2 linked regions of the Oryctolagus cuniculus genome follow. The protein of the gene in region 2 binds, or shares a complex with, the protein of the main gene of each other region. Links are inferred from orthologs where the notes say so. Each region holds a gene or a part of one and is shown on either strand. Other genes may lie near its edges.

The links.
Region 1: SF3A3 (region 2) and SF3B4 share a complex: the UniProt entries of both Homo sapiens proteins name them as parts of the 17S U2 SnRNP complex. The link is inferred for Oryctolagus cuniculus from reciprocal best matches to the Homo sapiens genes SF3A3 and SF3B4.

What each region holds. Positions count from the first base shown.
Region 1 is NC_091438.1:48,023,776-48,033,354, reverse strand, and holds SF3B4 (splicing factor 3B subunit 4), read right to left. Parts: upstream 6,149-9,579; 5' UTR 6,060-6,148; coding exon 6,026-6,059; intron 5,590-6,025; coding exon 5,461-5,589; intron 4,885-5,460; coding exon 4,342-4,884; intron 4,025-4,341; coding exon 3,818-4,024; intron 1,520-3,817; coding exon 1,346-1,519; intron 1,158-1,345; coding exon 970-1,157; 3' UTR 778-969; downstream 1-777. UniProt on the Homo sapiens protein: Component of the 17S U2 SnRNP complex of the spliceosome, a large ribonucleoprotein complex that removes introns from transcribed pre-mRNAs.
Region 2 is NC_091438.1:134,808,159-134,818,074, reverse strand, and holds the start of SF3A3 (splicing factor 3A subunit 3), read right to left. Parts: upstream 4,733-9,916; 5' UTR 1,043-4,732; coding exon 947-1,042; intron 714-946; coding exon 666-713; intron 1-665. Other genes in the region: FHL3 (four and a half LIM domains protein 3), read right to left, coding at 7,573-7,727, 7,808-7,994, 8,091-8,260, 9,474-9,648, 9,750-9,916. UniProt on the Homo sapiens protein: Component of the 17S U2 SnRNP complex of the spliceosome, a large ribonucleoprotein complex that removes introns from transcribed pre-mRNAs.

The DNA of each region.
Region 1 (9,579 bases), about 87 Mb from region 2:
GGAAGAAGCACTTTTAAGTTCTGGGGGAAGATAATCATTTTCCTCAGGCGCCACAGCCCCCTTACCTGGGCCCACTGAAGAGGCCCTAGGGGCTTAGTTGTGACCCTTCTCACCTACTCTCTCGCTCCGCTCAGGCAGTCCTACGAGCATGCTATTTAAACACATGCTCCCCACATTTCCCTCCAGTCCAGACCTCCCCATCAAGCCCGCCCTCAGAATCGCTGTCTACCTTCTCAACACCACTGCCTGAATATCTACTTAGCACGTCAAGCTAGAGCAGCTGGAATTCCGAGCCAAGAACCTGCAGCCCCAAGTGCTCTCCTCCTTTACCTCGATGTTTCCAATGGTTCTGTACCTCACTGTGGAGGAGTTGAAAAGCTATGATCCGAACCAGCTCCGACCTCAGCCTGCCTCCAACACCAGGCAGTGTTGTTATTTGTCAAACCAGATGGATATGTGAGGTGTTACCAATCTCCTCTTACCACAAAGAGAGTTACAATGAACAGCTTTGTGCATTCTACTTGCTATTTATGCCAGCCTATCTCTAGGCATCTTACTTCTTTTCTCATCTTACTATAATACTCTTATGTTCGAGATACTGGGACCCCATGGGATAAACTAGAGATAAGCTCTATGCAAGGAAATAGCCACTCCAGGGCACCTCAGAGACCAGCTATTCCAACGGCACATCACAGAATCCTTACCATTTCTCTCACAAGACCCGACACTTCTTGGAGAAAAAGAGAAAAGTTACTTTGCCAAGGATAACACCACAAAGAATAAACAAGTACAGTTTTATTTTCCATGTGCATTTGCAAAACACTTAGGACCAACATAAAAAAGGAAAAATCTTGTGGGGAAAAATTACATTAAAAATGGAGAGCTCAGAGAAGCTAGCTACAGCAACTCTGATTGGTCCAAGGAATCGAAAAAACTTCAGCTGAAAATAATAGGAAGGAGAATTGGAGTTTATTGAGGAAGAGGGCCCCGAAGTGGGCCTCGAGGGGGAACTGGAGGCCGGGGAGTGGGTCTGGGTGGAGGAAGGGGGCCCCGCTGGTAGCCATAGGGCGGGGGCCGTGGAGGACCAGTGTACCCATGAGGCGGCATCAGTGGAGGGGGTCCTCGCATACCATGTGGAGGCATAGGGCCTGGGTGACCTGCAAAAAGGGAAACAGAAATTAGTAGCAGTGAGTTACAGGAGACAGTTGATGTTGGAAGACCTGTGGGAAGAGGAAAAAGTGACTTAAAGAAACGTGAGAAAGAAAAGAACAGGCATGGGAAAGCTGACAAAGAAAGCTGTGAGAATGATACATATGCAGACAGGAGGAGGCTACAGCCCACTCACCCATGGGAGATCCAAACGGAGGTCCTCTGGGGGGCATGCCCATTGGAGGAGGTCCAGGATGAGGCATTCCAGGAGGTGGGCGTGGTGGTGGCTGTCCCCCAGAGCCTGGGGGCCCAGCATGGGGGTGTCCTAAGCCATGAGGGCCATGGTGGGCCAGCTGCATCTGAGACATCCCTGTGAAAATAAGAGACAAGGGGAAAATCAGGAAGAGAACAAAGATGGAGAAGAGAGCAACATGAGAAAGAAAATGACATCAGGAAGAGAAGGGGCTAGAAAATCCAAGGTGCTCCTGTCCCTGCTCCCACCCCAACAGGACAAACCACCGCACGTCATGGTTCCTCAATGACCCAGGCACTGGAATAGTAATGCACAAGTGTGTAACCACTGGAGGGATTACTCCACTGACAGGACAGGCTGCCCCAACAGCCACCTAAAGGACAGAATGTTTCAGGAGGATGAGAACATGGAAACAAACTGTCCAAGGCAGAAAGGTGAGCATTTGAGAATCACAGGCGTGTCAAAGAGCACAGACGTCTCGTCTCGGCAAATACCAGTAACTCAGCAATAATCTGGAGCAGTGGCTATGGGGGTGATGGCAGGACCAGATCAGGAAACGCCCTGAAAGCCACGGTACTGAGTGTGTGGGGAAGCTTTACTCTGCAGGTAGAAGGGCACAACAGAATTTTGAGAAAGGGTATCTGAATACCTGGCGGAAAAACATCTGGGAAAATAGATTCAGGACAACACTGTAATCAAAGTGGCAAGAGATCAGCACAGTTAAGTGTGAAATAACAAGGGACTAAGAGCTTGCACTAGGGCACTGGCAGGGGAGGCAGATACCACAAGTCTAAGAGTTCGTATGACAAGTGAGGCGAGGGCGCAGTGCTGTGGCACAGCAGGTTAAGTGCTGTCTACAATGCTGGCATCCTTATGGGCGCCAGTTTGAGACCCAGATGAAGCTTCTGGCTCCTGGCTTTGGCCTGGCACAGCCCAGGACGTTGCAGCCATTTGGGGAGTAAACCAGCAGATGAAGATTGATTTCTCTGTAGTTCTGCCTTTCAAATAAATAAAATTAATATTTAAAAGCAGGAAGTGAGGTGACAGGGAATAATCAAACACAGCCCTAGACTCATGAATTATGCACCTGAAAAATACGGAAGACTTATAGAATAGGTTTGAAGGGGGAGGGCCCCGCACTGTGGCACAGCAAGTCAAGCAGCTGCTGGTAACTCCAGCATCCCACATGGAGCAAAGGCTCAAGTTCTGACTGCTCCACTTCAGATCCCTGCTAGTGAGCCCGGGAAAGCTGCAGACGATGGTCCAAGTACTTGGGTCCTTGCTCACCCACATGGGAGACACAAATGGAGTTCCTGGCTCCTGGTTTTGGCCTGATCCAGCCCTGGCCATTGCAGCCATTTGAACTAGTAGATGGAAGCTCTCTTTCTCTGTCTCATCTTCTTTGTAACTCTGCCTTTCAAATAAATAATTACATAAAGAAATTTTTTTTGAACGGAAGAGACAGAGTGCCCAGTCGCTGAAACTGGGGGAGAGCGAGGTTACAAGGTTGAAAAGAGAGAATTACACCTGGGCAGGCCAGGAGGGCGGCTCAGTAGAGAGGCAAAGGTGAGCGCACAATCCATTTGGACTCCCTAGGTTTTTTTTGTTTTTTTTTTTCTTTTTTTTCTTTTTATTCACAGAGAGAAAAGAGGCAGAGAAAGAGAAAGGTCTTCCATCTGATGGTTCACTCCTCAATAGGCTGCAATGGCCAGAGCTGTGCCGATCCGAAGCCAGGAGCCAGGAGCCTCCTCCGGGTCTCCCACGCGGGTACAAGAGCCCAAGGACTTGGGCCATCTTCCACTGCTTTCCCAGGCCATAGCAGAGAGCTGTATTGGAAGAGGAGCAGCCGGGACTAGAACCAGCACCTATATGGGATGCCGGAGCTTCAGGCCAGGGTGTTAACCTGCTGTGCCACAGCGCTGGCCCCTACACGTATTTTTTTAAAAAGAGAAAGGTCTGAAGGGGAGAGGTACAAAAGTGGATCTGTCCACTGAGCAACAGGATTATGGATTTAGATTGTTAATAATCATGAACTAGAGATACAGACTAGGAGACATCAGTGTATACTTAATCTAGACCCAGAGAAAAATCAGTTTATCAAATTGACTGAAACTGAGGTGTCAGGTGGAGAATCCAAAAAACAGATGAAAAAAACAGACAAGAATTTCAAACAGGAGTACACAGCTAGTTTCAAATACAGCAGAGGGCAAACCATCTAAGAAGTCGAAGTATCCCCTAGACCACTGCTCTGGGGTTGAGTCAGAGAGAAGGGAAACAACAGGGAACAAACAAACAGCAAGTATAGGCTACTCTGCAGAAAGACTTACACAACAGGACAGGTGGTAAGTAGTAAACTAAAGAGAGCATTTTGTTCGTTCACGCACATCCCTCCCTTTCCCAGCCAAGAACACCTACCTGGATGGGGCATGCCACCTGGTGGGAAGGGGTGAGGATGTGAGTGTCCATGACCAGGATGTCCAGCCCCCGGGGTGCCTGCTGATGGAGGGCCATGTCCTCCAGCCCCAGGAGGCATTGGTGGGGGGGGCATGGCTGGAGGTATTCCAGGTGGGAGGGCTCCAGGAGGCGGCACTGGGGGTGGGAAAGAGCCAGGAGGAGGCATGCCTATATAGAAATCAGAAGAAGGATTAATGGCGGTGGGCAAAGAATGCCTTTAAAGAACCTGTCCCAGTTTGACCTGTCTATGCAGGGTGAGTTCTTGCCCCCTCCTCCCAGTGCTCTAAGGTCACAAGCCATGTTGCACTACTCAAATAATCCTACCTCCCTGGAGAAGCCCGACAGAGTTCTTCACACCCCTCCCACCCACCACCTCCTAACTCCCTTCTCATCACCCACTGACTCAGGAGATCTTCCCTTTCCAGGTTCTTTGTTCTCCTCACTGCAGCCCCAAGACAAACGTATTTGCGAACCAAAAGCTTTACCTGGTGGAGGAAGCCCAGACCCCAGTGATGATACCACAGGGTTGGGAGCAGAGGGTGGAGGGGGTGCATCTGCAAACAGCTGATGTGGGCGATCAGCCTGGGAGAGTGGGTTCTGGGCTGCCAGAAGTCGTTCAGCTGCGGAGCCATGGCGCTCACCCTTGGAGTCCTTCTTGAAGGCATAAGACACGGTGATGGGGCGGTTACAGAGGTACTGCCCATTCATGGCCTCAATTGCTGCATCCGAGGCATCAAATGAAGCAAAATTAATAAAGGCATAACCTTTGGAGTTGCCTGTGTCAGGGTCCCGCATGATCTTGGGGGTTTGTAAGATGACCCCAAAGGCGCTAAAAGTATCGTAAAGCAGCTTCTCGTCAATCTCCGGGTCCAGGTTCCCGATGAAAATGTTGGCCCCGACATCCAGGTTTTTGTTGTGAGCTGATGCCTTGTTCACTCGTATTGGCTTCCCATAGAGTTTGATCATGTTCATGATCTTAATGGCATAGTCAGCATCTTCTTCACTCAAGAATTCCACAAAGCCATAGCCTAAGCAGGCAGAGAGGAGATTAGCAACTAGAGCGAAGATACCCGAAACTGGGTAAAACTCACCCACCCTCCAATCACAAAGAACAAGAAAATGATTTTAGAAACAAACTGTGAACTGAGGATTAAGAGAAAGCAATCTGGGGCCGGTGCTGAGGCACAGTGGGTTGGGCATCTGCCTGCAGCACCAGCATCCCATATGGGCGCCAGCTCAAGTCCCAGCTACCCTACTTCTGATCCAGCTCCCTGCTGATGGCCTGGGAAAGCAGGAGAAGATGGCCCAAGTCTCTGGGTCTCTGCACCAGGGTGGGAGACCTGAAGAAGCTCCTGGCTTCAGACTGGCCCAGCTCCGGCCAGTGCGGCCATTTGGGGAGTGAATCAGTGGATGGAAGGCCTCTCTCTGTCTCTCCCTCTCTCTGTCTGTAACTCTGCCTCCCAAGTAAATAGATAAATCTTTAAAAAAGAGAAAAGAAGAGGAAGCAATCTTCTGGTCGCTCATTCTGAAACAAGTATAAATACCGCTGGGACCCTCAGGAGCAGCTGTCAGATACATAAAGTGGCCTCTTGGCGCGGACTCACCTTGGTGCTGGCCAGTGACTCTGTCCTTCGGCATGTGAGTGTTGACCACCGGTCCTGCCTGCAGGAAGAGCTCCCACAGCAGAGGTTCGCTAACCTTCTCGTCCAGGCCCCCCACGTACACAGTAGCATCTGGAGGGAGGATGCAGGAATTTAGGATGGGGACGAATATGACAGGAAAGGAGCTGACCGGGACATAAAGATGGAACCCAGTTAGAGGAACTGCAGGCGGGGATGTGGGACAGAAGCGAAAAGGGGGAGGTGGAAAGCATCCAAATAAGCCCTAAATCGTCCTCTTCGCAGGACCTAGAGCCCCTTCTGAAGTTCACTTTAGTGTCTGCTGCAAATTCCGTCCCACTCAGAAAAGGCAGCAGGGGGACTGCACGAAACATCACACGTCCAGGCCTCAGCCTGCACCCGGCCAACCCGCCCGCACCAGCCACGGAAGCGAGTCTCGCGCCCTCCGGGGGACGGGGGTCCAGTTTCCCGCCTTGGAGACGCTACTGGCCTTAGCTGGGGCTTCCCACCCTCCCGGGCCCATTCCGGACTCGTCTCCCCGCCCAGTCACCCTGGTTCCGCTCGGAGATCGGCCCGGCAGCCATGGCGAAAAGAATCCCGCCGCCTCCAAGCAGCGGCTCCGCCCTCTGGCCGCGGTCACTACTTCCACTTCCGGGGCGAAGACTTACGTGACGCTGGGCGGGGCCCGGACGGGGGCGGGGCCGGAAGCGGCTGCGGCCATCTTAGGATCCCGCGGGACTTGACGGTGCTGTGGCGTCCCGGTTCAGAGGCGTTTGGATTTGCGCCGAGGTTCCGGGGCGAGCGGTCGTAGCGAGGAGGGCGGGGCAGGAAAGCGCAGGCCCTCTGAAAGCAGTGCCAGACGTCTCCCACCGGTGCGGGCGTTTGGCACAGCGGTTAAGCCACAGCATCCTCAGTCAAGAATTACAGGGTCCGAGCCCCGGTTTCCCCCGACTCGAGCTTCCTGTAAATGCACACCTTGGGAGGCAGCAGAAACCCCAAGTTTGGTCCCTGCCACCCATGTCGGAGACCTGGATTGTTCCCCGCTCCCGGTCTGCGTCTGGCATGGCCCCGACTGTTAGAGGCATTTGGGGGAGTGAACCAGCGGATGGAAGTTGTCTGTTCCTCTCTTTCAAGCTAAAAATAGTAACTCTTCGTGTATTTTGTAGCCAGCTGATCCTTTTGTCACCCAAAGGAAAAGGTTCTCAGGGACCCCTCAACCTAAGGACTCTGCTCCACAAGCGTCTTAGTTTTGGCCTCATGCCTCTGGCTGGCTCGAGGTAATGTCTGAGCCGGAGTGTGAGCAGAATCTGAGGCTCCCCGGATGGAGTGTGACCAAAGCTGCAACTCCAAGAGCACTTTCTGGCCCCAGCAACGTCATAATATGCTCTTGGCTGTCTGCCTCTAAATGGGAGATGAGAATTCTGAGCCTCACGTGGTCCAAATCCATTCCTTTCTTAGAAATCATACGATGGGGACCTTTTCTCAAGTCTTTGCTATCTAGGATCCTTCATTCAAATCCAAGAATCAGTGCCAGCAATGTGTATAAATATTGTGCTTTAATGAACTTAAATAGAAATGCCACTACAAAAATGTACAGTTGGAAGAGAGGGTGTGTTTCATATCCACTTTGTTTCCAAAAGAAACTATACAGGAAGAAACAGAAATTGGAATTAAAATAGGCAGCAAGAAGGGGCAAGAATGAGGTCTTTAGGCCATACTGTTGGAACTGGTGAACAGCGTCTCTGGTGTCACAACTTAAATAGCTGGCTATCTATAAAGCAATTACATTGTGGATTGTTTTGTTTCTTAATTCTTCAACTCCCAGGAAACAACAGCTTCAGGAACCAAATAAAAGGACAAGAATTAAAGATTAGCACCACCGTCCACAACAAACTCAATTCTAAGTGAGTTTGCTTAAGAGCTGGAGTGTGAAAGCTGAGGCAACAAGGCCATATACAAAACACTGCAGTATTAGGACTCTCCCTCAACCCAGATCCCCCGCTGCTCTTTGAGAATGCCAGCAATTTCAGCAGGAATGAGAGAGAATGGTACTTGGATCTCTTTTCTTGGAGTGATCACCAGGAAACGCTCTTGGTGTCCACTTCCTTAATAGTTCCTGAAGATGGGATAGTTCATCCTGGAGGCCAGAGACTGTGAGAGCTGAGAGGCCCATCTGGGAAGGGTGCCAATAGGGACAGAGAGAAACGTCATTGCAGCTCTAGACCCCTGCTTCTAAGATCTGCCCGCTACTTGTGGTGCCTAATTGTCTTTCCCCTCCCAACTCTGCCCTAAATTCCATTTAATGTAAGCTTCTAGCAGTTTCCTCTAACGGTACTTCATTTCCCAGCCCGCCCAGCCCCTTGCCTTCCCAGCTCTGTTCATCTGGTTCAGCTGTCAAGCCCCTTCCCCCACTCCCAGTCCCTGTCTTCTTTACTCACCTGGACCTCGGGCCGTCCCCTCAGGTAGCAGCGTCTCCAGAGCCTGATCTGAGGTCCCAGATACCCAGGCAGCAGCAGCCCTGGAGGTAAAGGGCAAGCTCCCCAGTGTAAAGGGAGCCCCCACTCTTGGTCAGCCAGGCTTTCAGAGGAGACAGCCATCCGGGGTAGCCAACGAGAAGAGACCGCCAGCAGAGAGGGACTCTCCCGCCACGGACAGAGCTGGTGTAGAGGGGTCAGGGCCCCTTTAGAGAACAGCCACACAGAACTGGGAGGGCCAGGAACCAGGAAGCTTGGCTAAATGGGAAAGGGAAATCAACTGGCAACTGAGAAACCAGACAAGCTCAGTGTCCCCAGTCTGTTAGGAAGGGCATGGGACTCCTATCTACACTTGCACTGGCAACCAGAACCCCAGGCCTGCGCTCAGAACTGTCCTCATCAGGCTGCAACTAGGGCTCGGGACCGATGAAAGTTGATTTTAGGGCAACTTGTAAAATGTATGTGTGAAACAGGAAGACTGAGAAACAGGAATGAGAAAGACAAAAGTATAAGCCTCTATTCTGTCCTAGGACTTGTGTCTTCCTGGGGAAAGTCAGAGACTGACAGCTGCAGAAGAGAAGTGGGGAGGCTTCCCGGGAGGAACTCAGACATTATGTCTCTCTGCATCTAGTAGCATAAGCCTGTGGAGAAAGTCAAGGGAGTTGAAGAAGTCAGATGCCTCACCTGCTGTCTCGGAAGCCAGGCATCTGGGCCGTGTTCTGGGTTATAGCCAGGATTATGGAATTGTAGTATCTGTTCATTACTGTAGCGTAAATCCCAGTCCCAGACAGACAGCTGCAGGTTAATGGAATTCCCAGCTGGGGGGTGGGAGTACCCTGGGGTATAGACTTGTGTGTAGGAACTGAACTGGACCGAGGAAGCAGGAAAAAGGATGGTTACATAGAGTAATATAATCCTCCTCCTGAATCTAGACATTATGAAACTCTCCCCTCTTACTCCAGGAATCAGATGGAGGGCAAAACCTAGTCCTGAGAGCAAGCGTGACCTCCCCTCCCCACCCATGGACCGCACTTCTCATAAAACAGATCAAGACTGAACTTCACACAGCTCTTCTCAATGAGAACAAATGACCAGTCAAAAATATAGAGGTCGCTGACCTGTCCACTCTGCTTTCCACGCTCCCAGGGAGTATTCCTCAGAAAAGTAAGGGTGTCAGGAACCCTGACACTGTCATGAAGAGCAAGAAGGAAAAACTCAGAGAATTCAAACTCAGCTGGAAACTGCTGGAGGAGCTGCCAGACACAGTCTAGGAACAGGAGGAACACCGGCGCCTGGGAAGGGAAGGCAAGAGGTTGGAAGGGTGGCAGAGACCCAAGGAGGGAGGATGACAAATGATGGGCCTGGGGGACACAGGACATGAGGGGCATTATGAAGGTGAAGGGATGACAATATGAACTGAGGGCGTAGGGTGTTGGGAGCTTCACTCATCCCGGTTCCTCAAGCTTAGTTAACCTCAGGACCATCGTGAGCAGGTGCACTTTCTGTGGACTGCACTATGTAATTTTTCTTATCCCCTTACTTCTTTGGTAATACTCCCCTGCAACACCCGAAACACTCCCAAATGATTCTTACCTCCTCACTGGCCCCTGTTCCCCCAAGCCGGGTCAGG
Region 2 (9,916 bases):
GCGAGGGAGAGAGAGATGGATGTTCCATCTGGTTGTTTGAGTCCTGACTGCTCCACTTCCCATTCAGCTCCCTGCTATGTCCTGGGAAAGCAGCAGAAGATGGCCCAAGTGCTTGGGCCCCTGCACCCAAGAGGGAGACCCAGAGGCTCCAAGCTCCTGGCTTCGGCCTGGTCCAGCCCCAGCCGCTGCGGCCATTTGAGAGAAATGAACCAGCAGATGAAAAGACCTCTCTCTCTCTGTAACTCTGCCTTTCAAATACAATAAACCTTATATTAATAAAAATAAGTAAAGCTTCCATTTACGCCTCATGTGGCTTTAGCAATTTTCAACACTATTTTCGACTCGCTTCCTTTTGTTTGTAGTAAGCAACTGGGCTACTGCTGGACAAATAGTTTAGTGGTCAAAAACACTCCCCCACAGCGTCCCGGAGTTACCTGCTGCTGCACAGCCCTCCGCGGTAAGGGCCCGGGTCACGGGCTCATCTACAACTAGTCTTCGGCCATCCAAGAGGCACCGGGCGCTGTAAGCGGCGTCTCTCCGGGTAGTCAAAGTCCCCCCACGTAGACGCAGGAACGCAGCCGACCCCACACCCGTGCAGATCCCGCACCCCGTCGGGCTCCTCCCGTCCCGCCCACCGCGCCCCGAAGAGGACACAGGGCACTCACATCCTGCATGGCCCGGGTGCGGTGGTCGGAATTGATCTGGTCCCGGAGCTGAGGAAAGGCAAAGCGGGGCACAGGCGCCGTCAGTCTGAGCTCGGAGCTGGAAAGGCCGCCCGAGGGCGGAGCTCACCCGCTCGGGTCTCGGCGGCTGAAGCCCAGGCCTCGGGCGCGCGGGGCCCGGGGAGGAGGCAGGGGCGGAGCGCGGGCAGGGTCTGCGCGCCCGAGGACGCTCGCGGAGGTAGCGGCCCGGCCTCGACGTCAGCCGCTGTCCAGGTCCCACTCACCGTGGACTTCTTGGTGAGCATCTCCTTGGCCATGACGTCCATGAGCCGTTCCTTCTCTTCATGGTACCGCCGCTGCTGCTCCAGAATCGTCTCCATCTTCCCTCCGCCGCAGCACCTCCACTGAGACCACCGACACGGCCGGAAGCGACTCCTGCCGCCTTGCGCGCCTGCGTCCCCACGCTGTGCATCCGGCTGCACCAAAATTCCGGGAGTGCCGGAAGCGTCCCGGGAGTCGAAAAAAAGTGAGCACCACAGGGAGAGAGCCCGTCTGTGGTGTCGCTATGGCAACAGCGCCCCCTGCTGTTCGGAGGTACAGTGGCGCCATGGCGTGAACCCAGGCACCTGCGGTTAAGCGACTGGCTTCCTGGGGCTTGCTGGGGCTCGCTGGGCAGGTACTGCCGCGAGACTGAGGAGTAAAGGGTTCATGGGAGATGGGAGTCTCTAGAGTTCACTGTGACATCTGACCTTTCTCTGGACCTCAGTGCCTCTGACAGTAAAATGGAAAAAATGTTTTGTTTTTTAAAGGAATTCATATGTACAGATTATCTGTGTATGCTCCATCCAAGTAACGAAATGCTATATTATATATGTATATGTATTTAAATGCTTTTTTTTTTTTTGACAGGCAGAGTGGACAGTGAGAGAGAGAGAGTGACAGAGAGAAAGGTCTTCCTTTGCCGTTGGTTCACCCTCCAATGGCCGCCGCGGCCGGCGCGCTGCGGCCAGCGCACTGCGCTGATCCGAAGCCAGGAGCCAGGTGCTTCTCCTGGTCTCCCATGGGGTGCAGGGCCCAAGCACTTGGGCCATCCTCCACTGCCTTCCGGGGCCACAGCAGAGAGCTGGCCTGGAAGAGGGGCAACTGGGACAGAATCCGGCGCCGCGACCGGGACTAGAACCCGGTGTGCCGGCGCCGCAAGGCGGAGGATTAGCCTAGTGTGCCGCGGTGCCGGCCTTTAAATGCTTTTTAAAAAAATTTATTTGAAAGGCAGAGTTACAGAGAGACAGAGAGATCTTCCATTTGCTGGTTCACTCCCCAAATGGCCACAATGGCCAGGCTGGGCCAGGCCAAAGCTAGGAGCCAGGAGCTTCCTCTAGGTCTCCCATGTGGGTGGCAGGGGCCCAAGGGCTTGGGCCATCTTCCACTGCTTTCCCGGTTGAATCATAAGGGAGCTGAATCGGAAGTGCAGCAGCCAGGACTGCGCCCATGTGGGATGCTGGCACTGCAGGCCAGCTTAACTCACTATGCCACAGTGCCGGCACCTATACAGCCTTAAAAATGAAACATATTGGGGTAAAGGCACCGCCCGTGGTGTTGGCATCCCATAAGGGCACTGGTTTGAGTCTTGGCTTTTCCAATCCCGATCCAGATCCCTGATAATGCACTTGGGAAAGCAAAGGATGGCCCAAGGCTTTGGGCCCCTGCACCCAGTTGGGACACTCGGAAGAAGCTCCTGGATCCTGGCTTTAGATCAGCCCAGCTGTGGCCGTTGGGGCCATTTGGGGAGTGAACCAGCTGATGGAAGACCTGTCTCTCTCTCTCTCTCTCTCTCTCTCTGTAACTCTGCCTTTCAAATAAATAAATGAATCTTTAAAAAATGAAATATCTATATGTCCACTTACAGTTGGAGAAATGAAAACATAGGTACTGATGTTCATAGCAGCATTTATTCATAATTGCCAAACGTTGGATGTGATCTTAGTCCATTAAGTGGTGAGTGGGTAAGCAAAATGGGGAATCTCTACAGAGAGCAATAGTACTCAGCAATAAAGGAACACTAGCATGATGAACCATGAGTGTGTCACACTAAGAGACAGAAGTCAGAGGGGGCGAGCACGCAGCATGGCTGTCGGCTAAGCACGGCCATGTCCCATGTGATGATGCCTGGGTCGGAGCCCTGCTCTGCTCCCGATCCAGCTTCCTGCCGCACAGCCTGGGATGCAGCACAAGTACTCAGGTCTCTGCGCCCCACGTTTGAGACTCAGAGAGAGTTCCTGGCTCCCAGTTCAGTCTGACCCTCCCCAGGCATTGCAGGCACGTGAGGGATGCACCAGTGGATGGCGGTGCTGTCTCTCTGTGCTTCAAATATGTTTTAAAATATTTTTTAAAGATTTTATTTATTTATTTGACATGTAGAGCTACAGACAGTGAGAAAGGTCTTCCTTCTGTTGGTTTACCCCCTAAATGGCCGCTACGGCCGGAGCTACACTGATCTGAAGCCAGGAGCCAGGAGCCTCTTCCTGTTCTCCCATGGGGGTGCAGGGGCCCAAGCACTTGGGCCATCTTCTAAAATATTTTTTTAAAATAGGAGCAGACAGGAAAAAAGGACAGAGTCTGTGTCCAGATGGAAGGTGGCAAGGACACATCTATGGAGCCAGAGAGCAGATGAGTGGTTGCTGGTGACCGGAGGCGAGATTGGAAAGGACTGAGAATGACCACGAGGAATCCTTTTTGGGGCAAAGCAATTCTTCTAGAACTGGGTGGTTGTGACAGTTGCATAGCTATTCAATTTGCTAGAATTAATTGAATTGGACACTTGAAATGAGTGAATTTTATGGCATGTAAATTGTACTTCAATAAAGCTGTTAAAAAATCTGTGTGAACTCGTATGGAAAGATGGTCAAAGTGAGAAAAGCTGGTGGCACAAACAGTGAGCACAAAAATAGCCATGCAAAGGGCTCATTGCTGTCAGGGTGGCCAAGCTGCAGGCAACAGCGTGGCTCCCGAGGAGGCGGCCTGCGAGAGCGGGGGTGGGAGGAAAATTTTTTCGTTGTATATATCCAAAGTACAGCATGGAACTTTTATATATGTACATATACATAAGTTATTTTTTTTTTGAAAGGCAGAGAAATAAAGAGAGAGAGAGCTCTCCCAGCCTCTGGCTCACTCCCTAAATGCCTGCAACAAGCAGGCTTGGGCCAGGTTGAAGCCAGGACCCAGAATTCAAGCCGGGTCTCCTTTGTGGGTGGCAGGAACCCAAGTACTTGAGCCAGCGCTGTTGCTGCTCAGGGTGGGCATTAGCAAGAAGCTGGAATGCAGAGTGGAGCTGGACCCACACCCAGGTACCCTCATGTGGGATGCCGGCGCCCAGAGGTGGCCTAACCACTGATCCAAACACCTGTCCCAGAAATCTTTTTTTTTTTAAAATCCGTCTATTAATTTTTCAATTTAAAAACAAATGTAGGGGGGCCCGGCGCTGTGGCGTAGTGGGCTTAGCCTCTGCCTGCAAGTGCCGGCATCCCATCTGGGTGCCAGTTCTTGTCCCGGCTGCTCCTCTTCCCATCCAGCTCTATGCTATGGCCTGGGAAAGCAGAAGATGGTCCAAGTGCTTGGGCCCCTGCATCCAGTGGGAGACCTGGAAGAAGCTCCAGGCTCCTAGCTTTGGATCAGCACAACTCCAGCCACTGCGGCCAACTGGGGAGTGAACCAGTGGATGGAAGACCTCTTTCTTTCTCTCTGCCTCTCCTCTCTTTGTATAACTCTGACTTTCAAATAAATAAATAAAATATTAAAAAAATATAGAGGCCAGCAATTTGCCGCAGCGGGTTGAGCTGCCCCCTGCAACAATGGTTCCAGTCCCAGCTTCCACTTCCGATCCAGCTCCCGGCAAATGGAGTGGAAGATGGCCCCAGTTTTTGGGCCCCTGCACTCATGTGGGAGACCCAGATGGAGTTCCTGGCTCTCGGCTTCCTTGCGGCCATTGGGGAGTGAAGCAGCAGATGGAAGATCTTTCTCTGTCTCTCCTTTCTCTGTAACTCTTTCAAATAAATAAATATCTAAAAAAAAAACCCTAAAAATGAAAATATATATATGCATATTTAACAGAAAGAGGAGGATATAATACAACTTTTTTTTTTAGTTGTTTGGACTTGTCCCATTTTTCTACAATAAATATGTGCTGCTTTTTAAAAGTTTGTAAAATAATAATATGGAAATAATGACCTTGTTTTGCCAGCTCGGGGGGGGAGGTTTGTGAGGGTCATACTGTGTGTGGGAATTTAAGTGAGACTTGCACTCCTGGGGGAAGGTAGCCTGGTCACAGCATGGGATCGGGGCTTTTCCTGGGCCACGGGAGAGGAGGGAGGGGGTAAATTCTACTCAGTAATGGACTCCAACTATTTATTTATTTACTTAGGGCCCTAATGGTTTGGAGTTACTGTATTTCAGTGAGTAGGAGATGCCATCAAATGTAAAATTAGCCATTATTTGAGGCTTTAACTAGGCAAGAAAAATTGTCAGATTATGATACACCTTGATTATACATCTGGATTTCTTAGATGCTGAATCTGAAACATGTTTCTATGGAATGAAATGAAACAGAGGGCTGTAGCTTCACTTTTTTCCCCAACACTCTGCCTTCCTTCCGCTAAACACTGCTCCGGCCCCAGTGCTGTGCCTTCCACCCGGCTGTTGCCTGCCTGGGAATCTCTCACTGGGACCACTAGCCCTGCCTCCTAACTGTCTAGTGCCTCCAACCCATTATTCATGCTGCAGCCGGAGCGCTCTTTCCTACACTCCGGTCTCACACCCCTGCTTGCATATGGGCCCTGAGGGCGAGGTCTGTTTAACTTGGCATTGGGTTCTCAGGACCTGAGCCCTGCCTGCCATTTTCCTCTCTTGGCACTTCCTCCAAACGAAATAACTTGCTGCTTCCCCAAAGCAACGTATGTTTTCAGACCCTCAGGCCTTTGTACCAGCTGGCTTCTACGCTTGGACTGCTCTTCCTCAACAAATATTTTTGAACATGCAGTAAGTGCCAGGAGCCCAGACCGGGTGAGCAAGGCAGGCTCGATCCTCAGAGGGGCTGGTGGGAGAGAGAAAATAAATGCAAACATGATGATTTGTTGGCAGCACACACACGATGGACATTCTGCAAATGTTTGCGGAAAATGTCAACCGTGGCCTCAGGAAGTTTAGGACTTGGGGTAGGGGGTTGGGCAGGAGTTAAGAGGCCCATATCCCATACCCCAGCGCCTGGGTTCAAGTGCCGGCTCTGCGTCCAATTCCAGCTTCCTGCAGGTGATGGCCAGAGTACTCAGGTCTCTGTCACCCACGTAGGACATCCAGGGGTCTGGCTTGGGCTTGGCCCACTTTCTGCTACGATCAGCTTTTGGGGAATGAACCAGATGGAAGCTCTCTGTGTGTTTCTCTCTTTCAAATTTACACATACATAATGTAAAAAAGAAAGTTTAGGCCAGCACTGGGCCTGGGAGGCGGCGTCGAGAGGCTGAGAAGAGACTCCCTACGGGGGCTGGAACTGGCTGTGTCCGAGAAGCAACGCCCGCCCAGAGGATCTCGGGCAGGACTCACTGCGAGATACATATAATCACGCGGTTTCCGCCGGGCCGGCGGGCCCCGCCCGCCCCACGGCGCGGCCCACCCGGGGCGGCTCGGGCGCGACGCGGTGCACGCGTACCTGCCCGGACCGTCCGGCGGCGGCGGCGGCGTCCACACCGCAGCCGCGGGCGGGGCGGGGCGGGCGCAGCGCAGTCCTGGGTGCTCCGCCCCCTCTCCCCACTTTGGGGGCCAACCCCCCTGGCTCGCGCCCGCCCCCGCCCCTGAATCATGGTGGGCGGGGCCGTGACCCATTCATGCTGGGAATCGGATCCAGATGTTCCCGCGGCGCGTGCAGCTGCATCCTTGCCTTTTTTGGCAAAAAAACGTGCGGCCGCGAGCAGATCCCGGGCCGCCCCCGCTAATCTTCGGGAAGAAGGGGAAGGGGGTTGAGGGTCTGGGCCCAGACTGGGGCTCAGGACCGAGTGCAGGCTCCGCGGGATTTGGGCAGGGCAGTTAGGAGAGAGGCCGGCTTGTACCGGGGGAGGGCGCCCCGCCGCCAGCCCCGCTCCTGCCTGGAACCTCCCCGTCGCCGCCCTTCCCCACGGGAGAGAAGCAGCCTTCGGCCAGCAGGAGGGGAGGCAGGGCGAGCTTGCCGGAACGGTAGCTTCGGCAGGGATCCCGTTCCGGGGGGCAGACTCCTACCCTGTGGCACTCGTAGCCCTGGGCCTCTGCCCGGGGACACGGAAAGTCTAGAAGAGCCGCAAAGGGTCCCAGGCAAACACACAGACGCCTGGCTTCCTCACACTGCTTTATTGCAGAATCTGGAAGAGGGCCGGGCTAATCCCACTCCCTCTGCCCATCTCTGGGCAAAATGCAGCTGAAATAAAACGAGAAGACACTCGACAGACACAGCCTGGGCAGCACCTGTACCCCAGAGCCCCTTAACTGGGGGAGCCTCCCCAGGTGCAGCCCAGACAGCCCCCTCCCCGCAGCCCAGGGGACCGGGGTGGGATGGGCCAGGGCTCAAGCCTGAGTACAGTCCATTTGGAGGACTTCCCAGGCTCCTGCAAGACACCTAAAATCTCTGGAGAGTAGTCCAGATTTAAGGGGGCTCTAGGTCCCCAGAGTTCAGGTTTGAAGGGCTGGGGTCTACAGGCCTGATGTGGGGAGTGGGCTTGCTCTGAGAACCCCGACTATGGAGGAGAGGGCTGGGTCCTGGAGTCCAGGTCTGGATTGGGGAGTACCAGTTAGAGGTCGCTGGGGGCAGGGGGAGCCCCATTTGGGGGAAGGGCTGGGTCCCAGAGGGGGTTGCGAAGAGGGGCCGTAGTCCTGGAGCCCTGGTTCTGAAGGCTCAGGGCCCTGCCTGGCTGCAGCCCTGACACAGCACTTGGTCTCCATCCGGCACGAAGCCCTGGCCCACCAGGGACGTGGAGCACCGGGCGCAGGAGAAGCAGCTGTGGTGCCAGTGGCGGTCCTCGAAGGACACATACTTGCCCCCACCGAGTCCTGCAGGGATGCCGGTGTCAGTCCTGCCCCTCAGCCTCCCCCAGCACCACACCCACCCCGCCCTCTGGCTCCTGTCCCACCTGTGATGGGGCGCTTGCAGCTGCTGCACTTAGGTGCAAAGAGTTCTCCAAAACAGGCCACACAGTAGGGGTCATCATCCCGGGAGGTGAACTGCTGCCCTGCCAGGGGCGTCTGGCACCCGGTGCACACCAGGCACTCGCGATGCCAGGGCTGGTCGCGGTACGTCACTCCACCCTGGGTCAGCGTCTGGAGGGGGCAGTGGCCATGGGCAGGGTGAGGCTGAGTGGCCTGCCCACCCCACGACCAGTGTTGCCCAGCCCCACTCCCTGGCCCAGCCCCCACCTTGCTGCAGCGGGCACAGCGAGGAGCAAACTTGTTCTCATAGCAGGGCACGCAGTAGTGAGCACCCTTGTCGGGCACGAAGGAGCGGGAGCCCAGCGGCTGCTCACAGCCGCTGCACAGGAAGCAGTGTTCATGCCACGTCTGGCCTCCGTACTCCAGCTTCCGGGACCCTGTGGGGAACAGCAGTCCTGCTCAGAGGCTGAGCCCCATGCTCCTGAGGGCCACCCGCCCCCGTGCCTCCCCCAGGAGATGCCCACTGCTCCCACTGCTCGCACAGGGTGGCATCCATGCACATGCAGCAGGACCCCCCACACACTGCAAATGGGAACCTCCCCAAATGCTGGACCCCACGGCTCAGCACATGCTAGGCCCCTAAAGTGGACATGAGGGTTTAGTGTATGATTTAGCTCCCATGTGTCCCAGGTGCGACTTCCTCAGCACACAACAAGACTCCATCTGGGGCCGGCGCTGTGGCGTAGCGGGTAAAGCCGCCGCCTGCAGTTATTGGCATCCCATTTGGGCGCTGGTTTGAGTCCCAGATGCTCCACTTCCAATCCAGCTCTCTGCTATGGCCTGTGAAAGCAGTAGAAGATGGCCCAAGCCCTTGGGCCCCTACACCCATGTGAGAGGACCCAAGAAAGCTCCTGGTTCCTAGCTTCGGATCAGCGCAGCTCCAGCCCTTGCAGCCAATTGGGGAGTGAACCAGCGGATGGAAGACCTCTCTCTCTCTCTCTCTCTCTCTCTGTGTAGCTCTGACTTTCAAATACATAAAATAAATCTTAAAAAAAAAAAAAAAAAGGCGTGATGTCTCTGTAAGCTGAGCTATGGTGGTTTCAGCATCCTCATGAGACCCTACACATGCAAGGCAAGCAAGTCTGCCCACACCAGTTCTAAAGCCCTGGGTGTGATAGGTTCCATACATGCTAAGTCCTCTGTCTCCTGGGCACATCACTCTCCACATGTGCCAAGTCCCCAGGTACCTATCAGGTATGCATTCCCACACATACTACACCCTCTGCGTGCACCAGACCCCAGTGCACCCAGCATGAAAGTCTCAGCACACCCTTAGCTCCTGCATGTACCGGACATGCAAGTCTTCATCCGTGCTGTTCCACCACGGGTGTAGAGGCCACCTGGCCCGGCGCACAGTCCCATCCTCAGCACCGTACCAGGCTTGCTTGTCTTGGCCTCAGCATACCGATGCCCATGCATGCTGAGGTCCCAAGAGCGTGTAAGCACAACAGGTGGTGCGCACACTGAATTTCCACCCCATGCTGCACGTGCAGGCCTTCACACACGCCTGGCCTCTGGGGATGCCCCAGCACAGGCACAGGCCCTCCACGAACGCCAGTTCTGCCACGGGCGGAGTCGCCGGGGACGTACCAGGCATGACGGTCTCCCCACAGGCGGAGCACTGCGAGGAAAAGGCACTGCAGTAGCAGTCGTTACAGAGCAGCTCGCTGTCCTGGCACGTGAAGGGCTCGTCGGCGAGCGAGCGCTGGCAGCGGCCACAGCGGAAGCAGCCCTCGTGGAAGTGGCGGTCTTCATAGAACAGCTCCTGCGAGGGGCGGGGCAGGCAGGGGGTGCTGGCACTGCGGCCCTCTGCCCCCTCCCGCCACCCTCTGCCTGCTCCCTGCCCTGCCCTGCTCGGGTCCTTACCCTTGAGTCATGCCCAATAAGCTGCTGGCACTCAGCACAGGTGTTGGCGAAGGTGTTGTCATAGCAGGGCACGCAGTAGGGGCCGCTGTCTGTCTGGATGTACTTGCGGCCATACAGGGACTCGCTGCACTTGGCACAGTCGAATGCCTCGCTCATGGTGGTGACAA